2 linked regions of the Tamandua tetradactyla genome follow. The protein of the gene in region 1 purifies or fractionates together with the protein of each later gene. This does not show direct contact. Links are inferred from orthologs where the notes say so. Each region holds a gene or a part of one and is shown on either strand. Other genes may lie near its edges.

Evidence for each region. Proteins that work in one complex are often made in the same cells at the same time.
Region 2: the proteins of MTF2 (region 1) and JARID2 purify together in Homo sapiens (affinity purification with mass spectrometry; 3 studies listed by BioGRID and IntAct, with this or other methods). This does not show direct contact. The link is inferred for Tamandua tetradactyla from reciprocal best matches to the Homo sapiens genes MTF2 and JARID2.

The regions. Positions count from the first base shown.
Region 1 is NC_135337.1:30,941,825-30,949,787, forward strand, and holds the start of MTF2 (metal-response element-binding transcription factor 2), read right to left. Parts: upstream 3,044-7,963; 5' UTR 2,987-3,043; intron 1-2,986. UniProt on the Homo sapiens protein: Polycomb group (PcG) protein that specifically binds histone H3 trimethylated at 'Lys-36' (H3K36me3) and recruits the PRC2 complex, thus enhancing PRC2 H3K27me3 methylation activity.
Region 2 is NC_135351.1:18,257,612-18,265,707, reverse strand, and holds the start of JARID2 (protein Jumonji), read right to left. Parts: upstream 3,048-8,096; 5' UTR 2,509-3,047; coding exon 2,464-2,508; intron 1,354-2,463; exon of another isoform or gene 1,310-1,353; intron 1,027-1,309; exon of another isoform or gene 781-1,026; intron 1-780.

The DNA.
Region 1 (7,963 bases):
TTTATTTAAATATAAACTTAAAAGTTATAATGTACCTGCTTTATCATATTATCAAAGATAACAAAATAATTACAATTTTGTGCCAAGCATTGTATAAGACTCTTGGCATGTATTATTTTAACTCTACAACCAACTCTTCGGTAAATATCCTATTTATAGAGAGGAACTGAGGCTCAGAAATATAAAGTAACTAACCCAAGAACCCTAAATCAGTTAAGTACCAAGGCTAGGATTTACACCCAGATATGGTAGAGTCTATATTTTTCTCACAATGAGAAGCTACCTTTCACTGAAAATATGCAGTATTTATTCCATCAAAAGCATTTTTAACACTGCCAGTTTTCTAATTCATAACTTATAATGACTGCATAATATTTGATCCAGTGGATGGAACCAAATGTACTTTCTTACTCTATTCTTGGACATACAGGTTACAAAATCATATTTTGGTTTATTTTTTCTTGTGGGTATTTTGTGGGATTTTTTGCTAGTCTGTAGTTTTGTTCACTTTAGTCTTTTGTTCTCCCATCTTCTCCCAGGCTTCATTCATCTGCTTCCTGGTATACCCGTCAAGACATGGCCTCCCATAGGTTCTGGATTTATAGCTCTCGTCAGGAGAGCAGCCAGACTCAGCCCCAGTGGGAACTGTCAGCCTACGTCTGCAATTTCCTAAAAGGAACTGATCACCCAAGATTTGCAAAAGGTGCTTGCACCTGACTCCTTCTGTAACCACATGGACTGGTAAGAAAGAAGGCAGCTCCCCTGCAAAGGAGAGCTGACTCATCACCTCAGAAAACAATCCTGTGGAAATCAAGTACTACATTTACTTGTGAAATATAAGTAACATTTTTACCATCAAATTTACAAGAACTTTCCTGTGTAGCTCAGTGGCCCTCTATAGACTCTCTAACTTCTAAATCCAAATGACTGTAAATATAAAGCTACAGCAAACATTTTTCTTTTTAATTTTTGAGATTTCTTTTGAACAAACTGCTGAACGTGGGCAGGTAGATTAAAGTGTATAAACATTTTATGCATTTAATCCAATTGCTAAATTAACAGCCAAAATTCAAATTTACACTGCCACCAACAATGTCAGTTGCATTTTCACAAAAAATGTAGTAGCATTAAGTGTGAAAGTTTAAAATCCTTTAAATCTAATGTTTTTAACATAAATCCCTGTGCTAAAATAAATTTCTTTCACTACTAATATAATTATACATTTTTACTTATTTATGTAAGCTTTTTAAAAGAAAGTTATTAGAGGAATAAAATTACTCAGACTTATTATGTATTTTTGATATATAATCTATTACTTACAGGGACAAAAACTACTAAATAATTCCTCCATTGAAATATGACATCATGCAAGTTTTCAGGTACTACCTTAATGGCTACAGGAGACCATTTACTTGCTCATTTCTATTAAAACTCCAAGTTTCATGGGCACTACATTCTAGGTGGGCAAAAAGTTAAATGGCAAAAGAATAAGTCTTTGTAATTTAGGGATAGCAAAGAAGCCAGTAAAAAAAAGAATACCATAGACAACCAAACTGATACACTGGGGCATAGGTTGGACTGTACCCCTCACCTTCAAAATAACTTTTCATAATTATGTATCATTTGTTTTCTTCTTCCTTTCTGCCACATTTAGAGGGTGCAAGATGGAGAGAGGCCTATTTTTAACCCACAGCAACCTCCAAATGGTGGAAAAGCTGAAAAGGACATATAACTTATGGAAGAGGGATAGGATGCAATCAATACTATATGTTTCAGTCCCCACCTCAGAGACCAACGTTTACAAACTTGGGGAAAAGGGATAATTCTGTATGCAGTAGTCAAGATCAGCTCAATATTACTATTGTTGACCTTTTATCCCTTTAAATATTATAACACACAAAATTTTCTCAAAGACCCATCAATTTCATATTCAAAACATACCTTTAGTCCTTTAAACTGATCAGTTCCACAAACTAAAAAACATTTCCTTAAGAAAACATTTTACTGAAGTAACACCTAAGCCTTGAATACCAACTATATAGATGGTAATTAAGACATTTCAAATCTTTCAGAAAAAGGAGAAAAATCAAAAAATAGAATATAGTAGTAGTCACCTATGATAAAGTTGCAATAGGGATCCAATAGCTAAAAACTTTAGAAAGATATATCTACACTTTAGGGAAGATAATTTATGTTTCCTTTCCAACAGAGGACACAAAACAGGCATATTAACCCAGCAAAAGAAAAACAAAGAAAGGGGTCTTAACGAACAGCTTTTGCTCAGATTTTCAGTAAAGATTCACTCTTTATATATATAAAACATTTTCCATCAAAGATATACATGCAAAAATACCTATATTTAGAGATTCAAAGGGCATACAGTAATTGCAATCTATAATAATGGAAATCATTACAAAAAACATACCTATAATCAAACTAAGACACACTTGTACTCATTTTTATTTGCACCCAAATATATTCTCACTTTCCCATCTAAACACAAAAAGCCACAATTAAGCAGCAATTTTAAACCACTCTTATTTATAAATATTCCTAGTACTCTAAAATGATTTATGTTCAAATTCCTCAAAGCATCTGGCAAATAATGGTCTCAACAAATATTATTTTTCTTCATTGCTCTGTAGTAATAAAGGCAAGTAACAGCCAAATTGATTCCAAAACTGTTACTTATCTTAGTGGCTTAACCTTTTTCCTCAAAGTTCTTAGAAGGGCCCATATTTTACCCTACAATAGGTGAGAGTCCTCAGTCCTCTAGTCTACCTCTACTCTAACACAGTATTCTTGTTCTTCTTTTGGTCTATAAGAAATCTTCAGTATAGCGTAAAACTTCTTAAAGTTTATGAAGAATATATATATTTTAACCTCTCCTCAAAAGGAATACATTGTATTGAAGAGTCAACACTAGAATGACAAGTTGAAGATATCAAATTTTAGTATAAATCATGGTTAAAAGTAATAATAGCACCTGCCTGTTTGAATGTCCTTCCAGAGAACCCAGGATTTAGAACTATCTTCAAATATGATGAAGCAGCTCTGTTTCAATATGTTTATCTGCAATGCAGAGGAATACTTATGGTCATCTCTTTTAAAATTAAAAACATGAAGTCAAGTTTAAAGGCTTATGATTATTAAAAGTTTACTGTACAACAGCCAAAGATAACTTATCTTGAGATAACTTGCCTTTTTGATAGTTCCAAGATAAAACAAGCCATCTGACCATCTAGCTAGGACATCCTGACCCTCTTCAAATTTACATGCTGGCTTTTTGGTTTTATGTCCATCCTGTAAAGACAGCTTGGTCAAGGATGCTGGGGTCTTTTGGTTTCGACGTAAAGGAGACCGCTTGTGGACCAGTGAATTACCTGCCCCTGTGGAGTCTCTGTTCAGGAAATAAAAGACCATAAATAAGACTAGTTTACTCGTATAACTTACTTTAAACCAATGAAAAATTCTAATTTTAATTAAAAATTTTGATTTTTTAAAAATATTAAGTTGAAGGAAAACATAGTAGGTGTCTCAAGATCATGAATACTCTCCTAAAACAAAGGTTTAAAACAAGATAATAGTTTTCAAAACTCAATGTCTATTCTAAATGAGCCTAGAATTTAGCAATCCCTCATAAGATAAGATATTCATGTCAGCCATCATCAAAACATCACCTCTAATTTGAGGTGGGAAGGCCACTGTTATTAGCAAAGAATGCCTCAAATCTCATGACTTGTTTTAGATAAACTAAAATAAGTTATACTGTATAATCCCATAAGCACTTGATAAAGAATAAATATGAATTAAATTTTAATCTCTTGAATATGCTACATGCAGTTAAAGCTCACACTAAACCAGTGACTTTGGGGGGCAAATGGGTATATTCACACTCACTGGGAGCAGCTGGGACCCTCTTCCTACAGGGAATCACTTTAATTGGTGGGAGTGTATCATGGTCTCTCAAATATGCAGAGTGGGGGCAAAAAAAAAAAAAGATTGAGAACTACTAACTTCACAAAATTATACTTAAGTGAGAATATGTAAAAAAAGCATTTTTTTCAAGTAAAAGATCCCAAAATAACAGACCCCTAAATTACATTATGAATAATACATCAGTCATTCCATAAACAACGTACCATCAACTTTCTTAAAGGTAACAAAACAGTGTTTCTTATTTGGTTTCACTTTTCCAATTTACATTTTTCACAAATTTAACACAATGATATGTAAAACTAGACAGATAAATAATCCTAAAATAAGCATAAGCTTATAAAGATAAATCAAGAGGGAAAGAGAAGCTTCAATACTTAAGAATTCTATATATAAATTCTGAGAAAATGATTTAACAATGATAGAATTGCATGATGTAATTCAGAATTACATCATGTAATTCTATCATCTCTTCATGATGAAGAGAAGGTAGTCAAGAATAGGGGATTCCTACGATTTAACTTGAAAATCTACTAAAAAGCCCTTCTCCTATCTGTCTATAATAAGTATCACTGCTTTTGTGATAAGTACTTTACATGAAGTTTTCAATACAATTCTACAGGAAATCACCATCCCAAATTACCTAGGAAAAACGTGAGGTTATAATGTAATCTGTACAAGATCATACGGTTTGGAAGTAGAAAAACTGGAATTTAAAAGAAGGAAGTCTAACGCCAAAAGTCTCCCCACCCATTGTTTTTCTCCAATCCCCATAGTCTCCACACTGACAATTTGATAAACGTGTATGTATGGTGGGGGGGTGTGTGGGCATGTGGGGGTGGGGTGTTTGATAATGTTATACTTAAATAAACAAAATTCAATACCTCAATAAACCATTTCAGTAATATAGAGTATCAACTCACTAAATAGACTTCTGTTTTTTAAAATATGGACATGAATTGCTAAAAAGGCAAAAACATTCTTCCTGATCGCTAAGTCAAATATTCCCCTTTCCTTTCTCTCCTTAGCTCTGCTTAGGTTAGGAGCTCCAACAATTACCCACCCCTGTCATTATTAATCAGGAAAAAAAAGTCACAAATGGAGACAAGCCCAAGGATCCCTTTACATTCCACTGTCACAATTATTGTAGCACCAACAACTGAGAAATATCAATGGAATAAAAAATATTGGAGTATCCAGCTGCAGATACACCGGGACTACAAAGACATTTCTATGTGAGAGAAAAAGGGAAGAAGAGAAGCAAGGACTCTTGGGAGCACAACTTGTCTCCAAGGGAGTACATTAAATAAAGTATATATAACAAAAAGGAAAGCATTAGCGTTGCTGGACTTTTGCTTAACTACTGCTGAATTTAACTGAATTCAAGGTATTTGCAGATCTTGCCTAAAGACAGATTATGTTTAATAATCTGTTTTCTTCTAAATAAGCAGTTGTTAGACACAGAAGCCTTTATACCTTAAAAATTACTAAAGACCCCAAAAAACTTTTTCTTATAGCTATTGATTATTATCCAAATGAAAATGGATAATTAAAAAATTTAGAAAAAATAGTTAATTTAAAATAATAACAAGCTCATTACATGTTTTAAAAGTCTTTTTTTATTAATTTAAAAAATTAACAAAAATATTAACATAATTCCATTCTACATATATAATCAGTAATTCTTAATATCATCACATAGTTGCATATTCACCATTTCTTAGAACATTTGCATCGATTTAGAAAAAGAAATAAAACGATAACAGAAAAAAAAGATTATACATACCATACCCCTTGCCCCTCACTTTCACTGATCACTAGCATTTAAAACTAAATTTATTTTAACATTTGCTTCTCCTATTATTTATTTTTATTCCATATGTTCTACTCATCTGTTGATATGATAGGTAAAAGGAGCATCAGACACAAGGTTTTCACAATCACATAGTCACATTGTGAAAGCTATATCATTGTTCAATCATCATCAAGAAACATGGCTACTGGAACACAGCTCTACATTTTCAGGCAATTCCCTCCAGCCTCTCCACTACATCTTGAACAACAAGGTGATATCTACTTAATGCGTAAGAATAACCTCCAAGATAACCTCTCGACTCTGTTTGGAATCTCTCAGCCACTGACACTTTGTCTCATTTCACTCTTCCCCCTTTTGGTTGAGAAGGTTCTCTCAATCCCTTGATGTTAAGTCTCAGCTCGTTCTAGGGTTTTTCTCAATCCCTTGATGCTAAGTCTCAGCTCAGTCCAGGATCTCTGTCCCACGTTGCCAGGAAGGTCCACACCCCTGGGAGTCATGTCCCACGTAGAGAGGGGGAGGGTGGTGAGACTGCTCGTCATGTTGGCTGGAGAGAGAAGCCACATCTGAGCAACAAAAGAGGCTCTCTTGGGGGTGACTCTTAGGCCAACATTTTAAGTAGACTTGACCTATCCTTTGTGGGGTTAAGTTTCATATGAACAAACCCCAAGACTGGGGGCTCAGCCTACAGCTTTGGTTGTCCACACTGCTTGTGAAAATATCAAGAATTCAACTTGGGGAAGTTGAATTTCTCCCCGCTCTCACCATTCCCCGAGGGGGGCTTTGCAAATACTTTTCCACTCACTGATTGAATCACTCTGGGATTCATTGGGGCATCACTCTGGACAAACCAACAAAATCTCATGTCCTACCTGAGATTCCAAGTATTTATGACGTTCAATCAAACTATCTACATAAGTTATACTAGGAAATGCTCTAGTCAAAACATAAATTTCGTAACAAATAAACATTTTTTGCTTTAGTCTCACACATAAGGTGACATTTTAAAATATTAATTACCATCTATTTTCAGCACTCTGCAATAATGACATTCCTTTGTTCTTCCTCATGCAAAAACATTTTTAAAATTTGTACATTGTACATTTCACTATTATTATACACTCTAGGCATTCCTAGATTACACCATCTCAATCTTCAACATCTTTCTTTCTGATTTCATCTATGTCCCCAGCCCTCCTCCCTCTATCATTCTCACATGCAGCTTCATTCAGTGTTTTAACGTAATCATATTACAGTTAGGTAGTATTGTGCTGTCCATTTCTGAGTTTTTGTATCCAGTCCTGTTGCACAGTCTGTATCCCTTCAGCTCCAATTACCCAATATCTTACCCTATTTCTATCTCCTGATGGTCTCTGTTACCAACGAAATATTCCAAGTTTATTCACTAATGTCTGTTCATTTCAATGAGACCATAAAGTATTTGTCCTTTAGTTTTTGGCTAATCTCACTCAGCATAATGTTCTCTAGGTCCATTCATGTTGTTACATACTTCATAAAGTATGCCTTAAAGCTGCATAATATTCCATCATATGTATATACTACAGTTTGTTTAGCCACTCATCTGTTGATGGATATTTTGGCTGTTACCATCTCTTTGCAATTGTAAATAATGCTGCTATAAACATTGGTGTGCAAGTGTCCGTTTGTGTGTTTGCCCTTATGTCCTTTGAGTAGATACCTAGCAGTGGTATTGCTGGGTCATATGGCAATTCTATATTCAGCTTTTTGAGGAGCTGCCAAACTGCCTTCCACAGCAATTGCACCATTTGACATTCCCACCAACGGTGAATAAGTGTGCCTCTTTCTCCACATCCTCTCTAGCACTTGTCATTTTCTGTTTTGTTGATAATGGCCATTCTGGCAGGTGTTTAAAATAGTCTTTTTAATGAAGAAATAACTTCAAAAACTTGGCAAGAAGAGAGGCATTACTTTACAGTTTTTGCAAATCCCTTGGTTTAAGAGATAACAGCTGGATTCTCTTATCTCTTCTCTGAATGTTTCAACCGAAATATATGCAGAAAATCTAGCCTCACAGAGATATGTGAAAGGAGGATTTTAAGTCTTTTCTGTAATTGCCGATATTCTACTTTTCTGCTATACCAATTCTCAATAACCAGTTGTTTTTTAAAAAGTTACTTGAAATGTAGGATCTGAAACTTCATGACCAAACTTTTACATACCCCACTCCATCGA
Region 2 (8,096 bases), on another chromosome or scaffold:
CCAACAAATCAAAGCTTTCCCTGAATTAAGTTTCCTTCCTTTTCAAAAGCCTTGGAAACGCAATACCATCAGAAGACCTGGAACGGAGGAAACGCATTTCTGCACCCCTCCACGGAATCAGAGCAAGATCCGGGGGCTCTCGTTCCGAGACGACAGGTTCTCGGCTCTCACCTGGTGGGAAGCGCAGTTTCGGGGCGGAAGGCAGAGGCAGAGCGCATCCTCCCGCTCCTCCTCCCACGCGGATTTACAGCCGCGGTTAGGCCACGCGGCTCCTCCGCAGCCCCGGCCCCAGCCGCGCTCCCTCCTCCCACCGCAGCCGGGATGCGTCTGGAACCTCCCGCCCGACTTCTGACGTCACAGAGGAGGAGGGGAAGGTTCCACCCAGGCCCGTCCCTTTGTGACGTCACAATGACAACAGAACGCAGCGGGACGCACACGGGCACCGGGAGAAGCCGGGGGTGGAGGGCGGGGGCGCCGGCGGGGGGAGGACCGGGGGGTGGGGGGAGCGGACTGACGTCTCGCCGGCTTAACCTGTTGCGCTCGAGACTGCGCCTTGGAGCCCGCCGGCAGGGCCGCAAAGAACCGGCCCCCGGGCGGCCGCCGCCGCCGCCATGCTCACCGTGGGGGCTCCCGCCTCAGCTGTGGGCGGTCTGGCCCCCTCCCGGCACACGCCGCACACTCCCCGGGACCTAGCAGGCCTCGCGCCCCCTGCCCCTGCCCCACCCCACCCGCGGGCCGTCCCGGGGCGCACGGCGTCCGTCTCGCGCCCCCGCCCGGAACCGGGAGCCTGCCCCCTACAGGCCATCCAGCCTGGCCCACGGCGACCCGGGCGCCCCCTCCCCGGCTGGCCCGAGGACGTCCGGAACACGGCTCCTCTCCCAAAGCAACAACTCGAGCTCTGCCTCCCCGGCCGCCGTCAGACACGGGATTACAGCGGCGGGACTCGACACTTTGGCTGCCGCACCATCCGCCGGCGTAGTCACACACAAAAAATATCCGCCCCACACTACTCTCCAACTTAACGAGGTTGGGGCAGCGGGGGGTGGGGGTGGGGGGTGTAGAAGGGGCGGTTCTTGTCCAAGTTCTACCCAATTTGCTTTGTGGCTGCATCCCAAATGGACGTGCCCCGGGAGGGCTTCCACGCTCGCAGGCAAGGTTGCCTCCATGCAGTTTATACAGCCTGAGTTTAAACTAGTGCTTTGCATTCTCCCCAACCCTCTGCAATGCGGATGTATTTTAATTCGTAAATTCTTTATGGAATAGCATTTTAAGTTGGACTTGATTATTTAACCTTGAATTTCTTCCACAGGGGAAGTTTAAAGTGTCTAGATTAGGATCACCCCTCTAAAAAAGGTATTCATCTTTTCTATTATTTTTTTTTTTTTTTGCAAAACCAGTGCCCCGAATGTTACTCCCACCACACATATCAAAAAGGAATATTAACGCCCAACTTGTCAACTCGAGTCCAATAAAACTTTCTTATAACGCTGCATTATTCTCGATGTATGAACATTTGGCCTTTTTAAAAAATGGGTTTTCATTTAACGCGTACAGCTAATAGCCGACCACTAGAGTATATATTTGGTTAATCCCCCAGTCTCATGCTCCCCTCCCTCCCCCCAAACTTAAAAAAAAAAAAGCCACCACACACAAAACAAAAACACTCCCAATGCCAATCAAAATGTAGCTGTACTATGCACGAAACAAATTTAACTGTGCCAAACCATTTAAACCTCTGAATAATCAGATCAGTTAAGAGGAAGAAATTACTTGTAGACACTTAACATATGCATTTACGCACACACTTAAAAACACCAGCCAGTCTTTTTTTTCCCTAAAACTGGAAACCATGAATTTTTAAACAAAACCAGCCCCATTATTAAAGTCAACCCCAACAAATGTATTCGCTGAAACATGATTCCCAACTGGTTTATGTTCCGAACCAGATAAGCCAAAACGATCCCATACATTAAATTTGATGTGCCAGTGCAAGGAACAAGGTCGCCAAAATCGGACACTTGATTGCAAGTTAAAAGGCTTAGACTACACACGCGTTATACGATTTTCAAATAACATTAATAATAACAGGCTCATTTGCATGCAAAGTGCAATATGGGGGCCAAATCCGCCCGAGAATGCAGTTTAGTTACATTACCGCAACCGCCCACCCACCCCACCCCCCCAAGCTCCACCAAAATCCCTTGCCTTTCATCCAAAACTACATTATGGTTGTGTCATTCGAGGTCAATTTATTCACTTGAGGTATCGCTACACCAATCTGTTTTTTCGACCAAACTGAACAGACACGACTTTGCCTGAAAAGCCCTCTTTCTGAAAAGAAAGAAAAAGCCTTATCGGACGCTGTGTTTAAAACCCTTCAGCTGCAGAATTATCTATAAACTTGACATTCACAGCCATTGCTTAAAACTGCGAGTCAAAGGATATGTTGTTAAGAGCACTTACGTATTTCTTCTGAATGATATTCCTCTTGGGTCTTTCCTTGCTCATTCTGAGATCCAAATGCTGATTGCAAAAGGGGACAATTGCTTCATGAATTTAAAGCCGTCAGAAATTTGCAAAAAAAATCCTGTAGGTTTTTATTGTTGTTGGTCGTGGTGGTTGATCTTGTAATCCGACTTTTCTTCCTCTTCCCCCAAAACCAGATTCGCCTTGAAATAAATCCGAAATTGGGAAGGAAAAATAAAAAAAAGAGCCAAAGACGAACGAAGCAAACAAAAAAAAATTCACTTTAGTAAAACACTCATAATGGAAAATTTCCCCCGAAACACACACACACAAAAAAAAAAAACCGACGCCCTTCACTCCCCCCTTTTTCCTCCAAAAACTACATCAGCGGAACGTGAAGGTCCTTAGTGTCTGATATGTAGTTACATCTTGGAAAAGAAAAGGGAAAGATAAATAAAAAATGTTGGAAGTCACGTTTGTGCTGCAGCAGCAGTGAGAGAAGAGTCAACTCCAGCGGCGGCGGCGGCGGCACCACAGCGAGGGCTCGCCGAGTCTCTTTTTTCCAAGCCCCCTAACCAATGAGAGAGAGGCTATCCAGCCCAACTTTAAATGGACTCTGCTTTTATACAAGTTAGGGCTCCTCGGGTAATTCCCCTTCAAAAACTAGCCGAAAACTCCCACAGCTGAGCCACCAGGCGCCAGCCAACCGCGGCGCTCACCGCCCCTGGCCCAGTCCTGAGGACCCCCGCAGCCCGGTCGACCAGACACCCGAGAGACCGCAATGAGCCCGCCCCAGGCAACCTTCCAGACATCTCTCCCACGCCGAGCCTAGGACTGGAATTGACAGACGATCCCTAAACCCAATGCATGGCACGCTCGGTCGCTCCACCTCACCCCTTTTCTCCCCACTCGCCGCTCGCCCCACAGCCCCCACACGCTAGCCCCCGCCACTGCCCTCACATCTACCTGCAGCCCGGCTTCTGGGTACGAGTGCCCCAGGACGCCCGGCCCCGGGGAGAGCCGCCTATTCCCGGGGCACCTTAGAATGGTCCCCTTGATCTTCTGGAAGTTGTAGTCCCCCGACTACAAAATGGCTATGGCCATGGGAGGTGGGAACTACAACTCCCAGCCTGCCCCGCGAGCCTGTCATTCAACTCCCCTCCCTCCCTCTCGCCCCCTCCCCCTCACCAGCTCTGCCAACAAACGCTTGGACGTGTCCCGCGTGCGACACTGCTAGAGGCTGGCTCGGGATTGGCCCGCAGAGCGTGTGGTCCGCGAGCGAGGAACTCCCCACGCCGGCTCGCCCCCGCCCCGCACCCCCCTCGCCCGCGGCTGCCAGTCCTCTCCCCGCGAGCCCCGCCCCCACTCGGGCCGCGAACCGCCTGTGGAATCGAGGAATCGCGCGCGCGCGCGCCGGCCAGTGTCGGGGGCTCGGGGGGGCAGAGGGAGGCGGCCTGCGCGGCTTTCCCGGCGCGGGGGGCGGTGTCAGGGAGGGGTTGGAGCGGGTCCTGAGTAGAACTGGGCCACGCACCAAGAGGAATCCTCGGCGCGAACTAGTTGATCGGCGGCGCCTGCTGCTTCTGCGGTGCAGCCGGTGTCACCTCAGGACACCGCCTCGTGCGTTTACACAGGCGGCTCCTGTCCGGCTCCGGGGTAGTCTGAGGTCACCTCTTCCTCCGCTCGACGCCCCGAAGCCGCCCGCGCCCCTCCGCGCGGGGTGGGCGGCCGCGGGATCGCGGGCACTGGCGTGTTTAAAGGGCGCCCCCGCCTCGGCGCGCGACCCCGGCGTTCGCGAGCGCGAGAGAGGCGTCGGGGGAGGCCCCAGATTCACTCCCCGGGGCCGCCTGTGGAAAAGATAGACGTCTCTGAAGAGATCAAAGAGGATCTTTTCTCTCACAGGCGTGTTGGCGTCCGGTGTGTCCAGGAGTGAGACTGAAACGCTGAGTAAAAACAAGTGGAATATGGAGACTAAGCCACACAGCCTCGGTAACAGTAAGGAAGCATCTGGAACACCAAGTTAGCCCCGGGAGAGCTCGCGTTTTCACCTTCCTCTCCCTACCGCCCTTGTCACGCTGAAATAAATGAAATAGCATGACCTGGTGCATCTCTTTACCGCCCTGAGCCTTTGCCTTATTGACAACTTTGACGAGACTCGCACAGCCATTCTGCGTTAATTTTTTTTGTTAGAACCGTGGTTTTGAGGAAGCAATGTTTGAAGTTTATTCTGAGAATACCCTCTGAGTAAATTGAAAATGGGATAAGCGCTTGCTCCCTCCTTCTCATTCCTCTAAATTTTATTTCCTTCCCATTGCTTCCGTTCTGCTTAACTCAAGAGTTCAAACACAAATACACGAGGAACACCATTATTAGATTTTATTTGCAGTAGTGTTTGAAGTAACTGCAGGTCTCAGAAATGGATGTTAAGAGACCTGGGTTCAAATTCCACCTTGGCCATTTCCTAGAACAATGCAACTAACGACCACGCTGAGCGTCAATTTCCTCATCTGCAAATGGGTGGTTGACCCAATCTGTGAAAAACATATCTAAGAGCTAGGCACTTTGTAGGAAGTATCCTGTAAATGTTAGTTGGGAATGAAAGGCTTTTTTAAAGGCCCTTTTAATTATTACTTTCCCTTTAAAATAAAAAATCTGAGTGCTCTCTAAAATGGAGTAATTTTGACCCATGGTCATTTCATAATCAAGAAAATAAATCACCGTCCATGCCTTAATACTGCAAATCTTCTCTGGTACCATTTGCTGGGAAGGATCCAATAGAACAGACGCCACTTTAGTGTTGGCCACCCAAGCAAATGCTATGGTTAGGTTACAAGGTATTTTCAAAAGACTTGCAAATAGTGGGAGTCTGGGCTTCACACTGTTGTGGTTTGAAGCAGCTTTTGGGGGGTTTCATGTCAGACCTGTCATGCTCCAGACAAATGTTAAATAACAAAGGTGGATTTCTTCTTGGTTCCCTCTGCTAGGCCCTGAGGCTGGACCTCTCAGTCCTGGGCCTGTGAACTCCCCTGCTGGCTACCAACTCCAGATCACCAGGTATTAAAAAAATTTTCTGCTAGTTTAGTCCTGAAGGCAGGGGGAAAGAAGGAATTTGCTAAAGATTTGGATAATTGTGATGTTTTCCTGAAAAGAAAAATAGATTGTCCATTTTAGCAGTTGAAGGCCTTTCCTGTTGTGGAAGTGAATGTCTGTTGATGAACTTCCTTTCCCTGCTATCTTAGCAAGGCCATTTATTACCTTTCCTTTCTTTTTCTCCTCTTTCAGTTCTGTAAATCTAGTTCACGCTTTCTCCTACTTATTTTCCCCACTTAAAGCATTCCTCTTGACCTCTTCAAGAGGGTGGGGTGATACCTCACTAGGTATATTGATTCCATAGCTCAACAGAAGAGGACTTTACAGTCAATTACTATATGGACAAGAAGTCATATATTAGCAGCTTGGTAAAGGAGCTAAAGGCAATGAATAGCTGAGCTGACCAGGAATTAGGAAGTTTTGAAGGATAAGTAGGGGGGTCAACAGTTTGAAATAAGCAGAGAAACTTTTCAGCAAGTAAAATAATCATGAGAGTTGAAGAAATTGCTACATTAGGGATGGGGTTTGCTATTTGTTTGGGAGTAGCCAAAATTACGACAGAGAGCCAGGACCTGAAAGGCTCTTTGTGCCAGGCAATGGAGTTTAGGTTTTGTCCTGTAAACTAAAGAAGGATTTTATCCATATGTATAAAGCAGATTTACACTTTTAAAAGGTAGTTTTGCCACTATGAGAAATGAGAATAGAAACACTAGAGGCAAGAAGGCCTAGATACCAGTTGAACTGTTATTGCGTAAATGACATGAGAAATGGTGATAATCTGAATCAAGTGGCAGAGGGAACAGCATACGGAGCAGAGGACAGGTTGAGAAATATTTAGCATATCAAAAATCCACTGGGCTTGGGAACTGGTTAGGTGTAGGGAATGGTGGAAAAGAGGGTAGTGTCTAAAGTTACTCCTTGATTTTACCTTTTATACTCCTTTAATTAAATTGATTATCCGTTCCAAGAAGAATGGGAACCTGATGGGGTGAGGGAAGAAGAGGTGACAAGTCATTAGAAACAAATAAGAGCAGGCACTATTCTGGGTTTAAATCTGCTTAGGCAATCATATTTAATTAAGCATTCTTGTCCACCACTTCATTTACTATAAGAAAGGATGGGGTAAGAATTAAAGTGTTAATAAAGATCAAGTAGAAAAAAGTAATTAATAGTCGTGTATTAAATGCACATTGAAGTGTTCCTCTTCACCCAGGATGACACAGATTATCATGCTTCCAAACATCAATCATATCCATTGTTTTCCTAAGAAATGATTCACAATTCATCTCCATATTACACTCCATTTCACAGTATCTTTATTTACCTACATTCTATGTCGTACATTCTAAGGCCTCAGCTTTAGTCCTATCACCAATTTAGCCTGGCTGCTTGACTTACTCATTCTGGGATTCTCATTACCCGTGCTTCTCTGGTCACATTTTTTTGAGATTTAAAATTGTGTTCTGTGTTGTATTGCTTGCCAAGTATGTCGTTTGTTTATTTTTTCTCTCCTAATTAGGAATTTTCATGGGGGCATGATTTGTTTTATATTGAGGCTGCCATTGACAAGGAAGCGAATCACGAGATAAGAATTAGGTGTTTCTAATATGAGTGACCTTACAAGATTCACTTGACCCCTCTGGGCCCCAGGTCCATCATGTAGAAAATGAGAGGTTTGAATTCAGTTATCACCCCAGATTTTTGTGGACCTAACATGCTCTAATCCTACTTTGACCTTTATACCATATTTCCTTCTTCCCCTTTCAGAGCTGGCCTTTTCAATTTAACTAGACTTAAATACACGTGTTAAGTAAGAATTGCTAGGGAAAGTTTCTTTAGATCTGTACATTATTAATTTCCTAATACAACCTTATCTTTCCCTGTGCTATCTAATGCTATCTTTCACTTGTACAACTTTTTATAGTGTTTAAAGTACACTCTCATAATAGTTTCATTTTATCTATAAAATGAACCCTGATCAAGATAGGTAGGTATTATCATCCTCACTCCACTAATGTAAAAATAAGGGCGGGTGCAAGTGTAGAGGGGGTTGCAAATGTACTGAGGGATACAAGGGTAATTCAGTGGTAGAATTCTCACCTGCCATGAAGGAGATTCGGGTTGAATTCCCAGCCCATGCATTTCCCCCCACCCCAAAAAAATCAACAAATGGTGCTGCAATAATAGGATAGTCACATGGAAAAAGAATGAAATGTGACCCCCACCATACAGCATACAAAAAAAAATGCAATAGGAGAGACTTGTGGTGCGCTTGCTGGCCTGTCTTCCACCCACTCGCTGGCAGACTTTGGAACCAGTATGCACACTGGTGGTGGATTCTTGGACCTGTTCAAGCAGGAGTAGAGTAACCCCTATCTGCCTAATATAGTGGGGTGCTTATACAAGAGTATCCATTAACTGGGGTAGAGTGTGAATCACCAAACTAGGAGATCCTTCTTGGGCTTGCTCTCTCAGAACTTGCTCTGCAATCAGAAGCAGCTTGTGGATTGCTAAAGCATTATAAGAAAGAAATAATTCAAATG